Linked DNA regions of Ovis aries. The protein of the gene in region 1 interacts with the protein of each later gene in a pairwise test. Links are inferred from orthologs where the notes say so. Each region holds a gene or a part of one and is shown on either strand. Other genes may lie near its edges.

Evidence for each region. The genes of interacting proteins can lie anywhere in the genome.
Region 2: the proteins of HOMEZ (region 1) and RNF8 interact in binary tests that used the Homo sapiens proteins (3 or more experiments, as listed by UniProt). The two-hybrid records come from large-scale screens. The link is inferred for Ovis aries from reciprocal best matches to the Homo sapiens genes HOMEZ and RNF8.

Annotation. Positions count from the first base shown.
Region 1 is NC_056060.1:21,427,896-21,432,076, reverse strand, and holds the start of HOMEZ (homeobox and leucine zipper protein Homez), read right to left. Parts: upstream 2,802-4,181; 5' UTR 2,690-2,801; coding exon 2,650-2,689; exon of another isoform or gene 2,479-2,649; intron 2,353-2,478; exon of another isoform or gene 2,045-2,352; intron 1-2,044. UniProt on the Homo sapiens protein: May function as a transcriptional regulator.
Region 2 is NC_056073.1:11,332,330-11,335,844, forward strand, and holds part of RNF8 (E3 ubiquitin-protein ligase RNF8), read left to right. Parts: intron 1-109; coding exon 110-217; intron 218-2,414; coding exon 2,415-2,619; intron 2,620-3,515. UniProt on the Homo sapiens protein: E3 ubiquitin-protein ligase that plays a key role in DNA damage signaling via 2 distinct roles: by mediating the 'Lys-63'-linked ubiquitination of histones H2A and H2AX and promoting the recruitment of DNA repair proteins at double-strand breaks (DSBs) sites, and by catalyzing 'Lys-48'-linked ubiquitination to remove target proteins from DNA damage sites.

The sequences.
Region 1 (4,181 bases):
CCACATTTCTTCAGTAACACAAAACACAAGTTGTGAAAGACTTTGATACAGAATGGTGCTTTAAAATTAGGACACAGCAGTAGAGCTGGTACCTCCCTGGAAGAATCTGGCTTTGCTATAGGAGGAAACTAGAACCAGTTCATGAGAACTATAACAAAGAGGGTAGATCCTACAGTAATCAAAAGCACAGTGAAGGCACTATAGCATCTTGTGTCCTTGTACCTCATTTGGAGAAAGTAGAAAAAGAAAGAAATCAAAGCTGGAGAAATAAGGACTCCTCTGGGCAGAGGTGTCAGTGATGGTGGTACTATCAATTCTGAATTTACTAAATCTGTTACCATGCCAGATATGTCCTACTGCTACTTAAGTCACCAATAAAAAGTACAGAGTCAAGGCCTGTACTGAAATAAGTCAAAGCCTTATTTCCCTTTGGGCTTTCCATATCCCTGGACAAAAGGCAGAAAAGTATTAATGGGCTGCCTTAAACTTCTAGTGTAGGTGTTCACACAAGGTTAGGAAAAAGAGATCTTCAGAACCTGAGCCTAGGTTGGGAATTTCCTGGTGGTCCACTGGGTGGGACTCCACACTTTCACTGCAAGACGCATGAGTGTGATCCCCTGGTCAGGAGACTTAAGATCCCACATGTGGCATGGTGTGGCCCAAAACAAAAATCTTGAGCCTAGGCTTATGGTTAAAACAGGTGACAGTTCAAGTGAAGACCAGATATGAGCCTGCTAAGTTATCTAAGTCTTTATTCAGAGAACTGAAGAATGTTCCTGAGTGAGATGTGTTTTCGTGAGTTTTCAGGGCCTTAAAGGACATTTAGTGATACTCAGTTCATGTGCTTCTCACTTTTTGGATCATGACTCTCTTTGACAATAGAAGTTAAAGGTTCTCAGAAAGTTACGACTTACCTCGCATCCCGCCCCAAACATTGAAACTTACAGATTATAAATTATTATCTCAGGGGATTTACTGATTGTCCAGAAGCCCGTTAGAAACTCTGTCCTATGTCCTCCCAACTTAGTAAAGGCATGGTCGTAATTGCTTTAAGAAAACAGTTTATGAATGAATGGAACAAGTGGTTGGAAGGCTGAAAGAGAATGTAAATTAGTTTAGAAGGGACTAGGTACTAGTGCTATTAGCTGGACAGAAGCGAAAGATGTTCAGTTGGTTTAGGAGCTTGGTTTAACTGATCCCCACTGGATTACATAATCAATACCCACAGTGCACTGGACACTAGAGGCTGGTAGCCTAGTCTCTAGCATGGCAAAGTCATCTACTTCCTTCAGCTGCCCTATGTGCTGAGGCCAGTTATGTGTGATTCCAAATCTGCTTATGCCCCTTGTTTTTCTCTATATAATTAAACATCCTATAAACCTATGAAAATCAGTGCATTAAGAATTGGTTCTGAAAAAAAAAAGTCAAATGCTTTGGAAAGACATAATACAAAGAAATGCACATTAAAAAAAAATTGTTGAGTTGGGAGAAGGCAAGAAAACTGTAAAAGACTGGAGGGGCAGGAGACTTAAAAATCTCAAAAGTATTCTGCATTCATATTGCTTCAAAAGTGTTTAAATTCAGTCTCCACTTTAAAGAAACCAAACCTGGAAATCACAGATGATGATGCAGTGGTTCCAGTCTGACTGCATATTAGAAAAATTCCCCGGGGAAACTTAACCCACGCTATCCACCTCGTTCTGATTTACTTAGCCTGGATTGGGGCAGATGAAAGTAGTTTATTTTAAAGTTCTCAGGGTGCAGCCAGATTAGAGATTTGCTTATGTAGTTGATATTAGAAAGACAATTGGGACTGCCAATCAGCAACACAAAGAAAACGCTGGGACACTTACCCAAGAAATTGGTGAGATGAAAGTACTTTTAATGACAATGCTTAGGATATGTATGCATCATTTTAAAAATTCCCTACTTTCACTGGCTTACTTTCAGTTACTGCCACCTACCTATCCTCAGCATAAAAAGCCCTTCAAATGTATGGTGAGAAGAGGGTTCATATAAAATATATCATCTGGGTCCACATTACCAAATAGGTCTCAGCTTGAGTCTTCTTTCAGTTTAGAAGTCTCTGATTAGGAGGCAACACCAGGAACCTTTGAGGACTCAGGTTTTCACTTTTCTGGTTGGTTTTCTGAGTATGGCTGGGTAGGGGTCAGAAGGGGCAGTTTCTCTCAAACCTTTCATTCCCAAAGGCCATGCTCCCCAGGAATAAGGCCAGGTTTCTGTACGTGTGTTGAAGTCGCCAGGAGGCAGTCATGGAGGGGAGGAGGGGAGGCCTGGGAAGGAAACGTTTCTCCTATCCTCCATTTCGCAGGCAGTCTAGAAGGCTCCAAACTGGGTCAGAGAACAAAAAGTTGCTGCACTTGGGGCAATGAGCCCCAGGGAGCAGGCAAATCTCAACCCTCCCCTCGCCAAGGGCGTCCCAACCCGGCCTTCCCCTCCTCCTATACACCCACTCACCCTCCTCCAGTTAAAACAGGGAACCGAAAAGTCCTGAGGAGAAAGGAGAGAGAACCGGACCACTTCGAACCTAGAATTCTCCTCTTCCCTCCAGCGCGGAGATGGGGCTCCGGAGGTCGGAGATCGTACAGGGACTGCAAGGGGAAGTCGAAAGGGCTGGGGATCACTCACCGCAGTCCAGCCCGGGCGGCGGCTCCCAGCCTCGCACCATGGGCCGGGGGGAAAGGGGGAGAAAGGGCAGGGGGCCTCCGGGGTGAGAGTGGGGTTGCTGCCCGGCGCGGCCTGCTCCGAGCCCACCCGCGCGGAAGGCCAGGACCGGGACTGCCCCCCCTCCCCGCCCCCGAGAGCGCGCCCGTCTAGCCCAGCCCTGCTCCAGCGAGTTGGAGGCGGGGCGGATGGGTGGGGTGGGCTCCAGGGGTGGTGCCAAGGTGGCCCGAGTTTTGATTGGTGGGCGCAGGCAGGCGGGCCCTCGCGGAAAGGGCTGGGCCGGCCATTGGCTGAGTGGGTCTCGGTTGAAGTCGGCTATTGGGTGCGTGGGCCTCAGCCGGGATGCCTATTGGCTGCATGGGACAGGGAAGATGTCCCCCCCAGGCTAGGATGTCGTGAACAGTACCCCCTCCCACCCTCGCCGTATGGGCGCCGGATCTTCGGTGTTACGCTGGGCAATGTTCCGCCTGGAATTCCCCAAGAAATTCAAAGCAGTTTGCTGAACTGTCCAAACCGCCTACAACTACTCCCTATTTGTTTCCTCCGGAAGGAAGACGTTTTCAGTATCCCTTTGCCAGCTTCGTACAGGAGACAAGCGTTCCCAGCCTGGGGTCAAACCGTCGTCAGCAGCGTCAACTGTAAACGAAGCGCCTACAGCAACCGTTAACTTGTTCTAGAGATGGATCAAGTGTCTTGCTGCTAAGTCGCTTCAGTCATGTCCGACTCTGTGCGACCCCATAGACGGCAGCCCACCAGGCTTCCCCATCCCTGGGATTCTTAAGGCAAGAACACTGGAGTGGGTTGCCATTTCCTTCTCCAAGGCATGAGAGTGAAAAGTGAAAGTGAAGTTGCTCAGTCGTGTCTGACTCTCGGCGACCCCATGGATTGCAGCCCGCCAGGCTCCTCTGTCCATGGGGTTTTCCAAGCAAAAGAGTACTGGAGTGGGGTGCCATTGCCTTCGTCAAGTGTCTTGACCACCCAGAAAAATGAGGATCCTAGCAGCCTGGCACCTTCCGCCGCTTCCTGGGTCCAGTTGTCACCAGACAGGTGTTCTCAAATATGAAGTCCTAGAGGGGGTCACCTCATTAGGTCTTGCCAGCTCCCCTCAGGCCCTTCCTCTGCCCTAGTAAAGACTACCTGGAGTTGTGCCTCATGTTGGGGGGGCCTTGGTTTTGCTGTCAAGAAAGGGATTATAATAAAACGGGCTTTCCAACGACTCAGTATTCCACACATTCCAAAATTCTAGGCCAAAAGTTTGTATAGTTAGGATTCTCAGTCTTCTGACCAAAACTTGGGAACAATTCTTTCTGAAATGACTCTTCTGTTCTCATGATAGTCTTCTGTTGTTTATTTAGGTCACAATAGCTTATATACTTACAATAATTTATTATGCCCTGTATTCCACAGATCTCGCCACTCCCCATATACCCCGTAAAAAGTCAACCATCATAACTGATACTTCTGATTCTTCATTGCTCCACGCTAAGGTCTAAAGC
Region 2 (3,515 bases), on another chromosome or scaffold:
TAATTTAGATTCTTTCTGAATCCTCCTGCATACTATTAATCCTGCTCTGTCCTATTTTGCATTCTTGTTAGTTCTCCCGAATGACAGGTGGGGTTGTATGTCTTTGCAGGAAGAGAAGGAGAAGGTGCAAGCACAGAAGGAGGAAGTTCTTAGCCACATGAATGACGTGCTAGAGAATGAGCTCCAGTGTATTATTTGCTCAGAATACTTCGTTGAGGTAATGATGAGTAGTGGCTCACGCCTTCTCACTCTCCTACCCCTGAATGGAGCCTCAGCTACACAGACTGCTTTTGCTCTAGGGTAACATTCTGAAGAGATTTTTCCTCCAGGAACTTACTGTAGCTATTTGACTTCAAAGTGGCTGCTGGAGGTGGCCACTTCTCACTTGCCTCCGCTGGCTTTTTTCTTACTTCATTTGTTCTTGAGTTCTTTTTTTGGCAGAATCAGTGTTTGGGGCTATAATAAAGCCTTTATCTTTTTGTTGTTGAGGGAAAAACACTTTGGTTTTGAAGAACCATCTAGGGGCTGCCCCACCCTCCCACAGGTCAGAATGTCATATGTTTCCTACATTGCCGACAACTATGAGCTGTTGGGTTTTGTGGGTTTTGCGGGGTTTTTTTTTTTGCCTAGTGTTGAGCTCCTGAAGGTTTTTTTTTTTTTTTTAACTCCTGGGATCCATTTGATTCTGGCAGAATCCAGAATTAGATGGCATTAGAAATTTGAAGTATCAGAATAAAGCTACTCAATAAAGCTAGTCTTTCTTTGCTCTGAATGGACACAGTGCTGAGAGTGGGCGTGCAGTGCAGCCTTTGAACAAGGGGGTAAATGTCATTGAGGTATGCTCACGGGATTCAGTGGCCAAATGGAGCATTTTTCAGGGACTCGGAGGCTCCTTATGAAAATGAAACATCACGCCTAGGATTTCATTTGTTATCCTGTCTTCTTTTTGCATAAACTCTCTTATTTTCGCAAATTCTACCACTTGTGTCCAGTTCATCTTACACAACAAGTGTTAGACTAAAGTTGTTAAATGATAGTGCTTTTCAGACTCATTTAAAAAGAAAACGCATACACACACAGCTTCCTTTTTTTCTGGTGGCCTTTAGGGAGATTGGGTCTATTAGCCTCCTGAAAAATCTGTCCTGGATAGACCTGTTTCTTTTGCTTTGGATCTGCTTTGACTTCAGATCATAATTTCCCCCATAGTTTGTAGTCATTTGATTCCCTACTTTGGAGAAACTCAGTTAGTACTGTTTCGACATGACTTATGCACCGTAATAGAAGACGACAAGGAAAGGGGTCGGAATAAGTGATGAGTTAGCCAACATGGAGCGTCTGCACAACATGTAAGAGACAAATAACCTGATCTTTGTTTGGTTTACAGCATGTGCTGACCTTCCCTGCTGGTCCTCTTTTAAAATCAGTGTTGGGTTAGAGATTTCATTTTAGTCAGCAGGTTTTTAGTCCTGTTTATGAGAATTTTGTCTCATTCTTTATTTTTACTTTTTCTTTTTTTAGTATGTCTCATTCTTTACTGAGAATGTTTCCTAGTTGGCCTTCTGGCTTCCACTTGGCATTTGGAAAATAATACAAAGTTTGTGTTATTTCCCCCTGCTTTCCCAAAAGCAAGAAAGAAAACTTTTTAGCTCCAGAAAAAGTTGTATCTTAGGAGATACAAGAGAAACAAGAGAAACGAAGAGTATGGTTTATGTTTTGAAAAGTGATAAGGACCTTGGCAGAAAGCTGACCATTGGGGTTGCTCAGGAGCACCTCAGATACGGGCCCTTTTCTGCTTTCTCTCTTCTCATAGGCTTATTGATATTACTTAAGGCACTGTCAGCTGAACCCATTACATTTTTTCCTATTTTGTTTTTAGATTCTTTTTCCCTAGCCTAAGTGCTTTTACGTATACTTTTTAAAGCTTCTTTTGAGTAGAGATAAGGGCCTCCTAACATTCTGTGTACTGAGTATTCACTGTGTGAGTTAAAATCGAGGTTTTACTGTACCATTAGGACATACAGCTGTTTCTCCTGAGAGAATTAGTGATGCATGTGTATCAGACATGCGCATGTTTTCTAGTCCTGCTTAAGTCCAGTGGCATTTATTTGCGGGATAGCTAAGCCACGTTGGCAGTGTGAATTGAGTTGGTGGAACAAAATAAGACAAATCAGCCTACCTGGAGCCTGAGTTTATGAGCTTAACTTTGAGAGAGAAAACAAATAATCTAACATGAAACTTAAAATTTACAGTTCCTAGGAATGATTCTGATACCCTTTGTAAGGCCTCTAGATGAAGTTATGGTTTAATTTCTATTTCGTCTTGAGAACTAACTGCTTTCCTAACTCTGAGATCACAGCGGCCCTGGGGCAGTGAGCGTCACAGTTCTGATGTGTGTGTTCATATTTCCGTTATAGGCTGTCACCTTGAACTGTGCCCATAGTTTCTGCTCCTACTGTATCAATGAGTGGATGAAGAGGAAAGTAGAATGCCCCATTTGTCGGAAGGACATCAAGTCCAAAACCCGCTCCCTGGTTCTGGACAATTGCATTAGTAAGATGGTAGACAATCTGAACTCAGAAGCGAAAGAACGACGAATTGTCCTCATCAGGGAACGAAAAGGTGAGTGAGTATGGAAAGAGGTGAGTCCCCTCAACAGACTTTTTTGGATCCAGAAGAGTCAGGTAAACGGTTCTTGAGCTTAAGAAGGAGGTGGAAGTAATGGGGGAAAGTAAAGGAAGCTAAAGGTAATAGACATGTAAGGAACAGTTGAGGCAGAATGGAATATTTGAGCAGCAGGGAATGGGGAGGCTTAGGTGTTTGTGTCTTAGTTAAGGGATAAGAAAAGATGGGATTAGAAAAACACAGGGGTGGACAACTTACAGTGTTAGTCACTAGATGGGGCTGTCGTTCAAGACAGTTTAGTTGCTGTCTGTTGCTCTCGGTAGGTTGCAGAAATCTTGGGTTGGGTACACAATAAATTATAAATTATAAATAGGATGTGTACAAGTCAAAGATTCACAGCTTGGAAAATGCCAAAACATATGAAGAAAACATATATAGGTTCTATCTGTAAGAGTCACAGCTTAACTACACAAATCGGGCATAACATTAAGCCAAAAAGAGATTAATTTAATCCTACTATGTTAACTTCACTAGGACTAGTTTGACTCAGTTGTGTCAGACTCTTTGTGACCCCATGGACTGTAGCCCACCAGGCTCCTCCCTCCATAGGATTCTCCGGGCAAGAATACTGGAGTGGGTTGCCATTTCCTTCTCCAGGGGATCTTCCCGACCCAGGGACCGAACCCGGGTCTCCCGCATTGCAGGCAGATGCTTTAACCTCTGAGCCACCAGGGAAGCACATTAACTTTGGGTGTCCTAATAAACAAGTTTCCCAGAGAGAGTTTGAATAAAGAGATTAGGGAAGTGAGGGTGGGTGAGTTTCCTCAAGGAACCATACTTCCATAGAGAGTATCTCCTCCTCTAACACAAGTGATCTCATCACACCTGGGGCC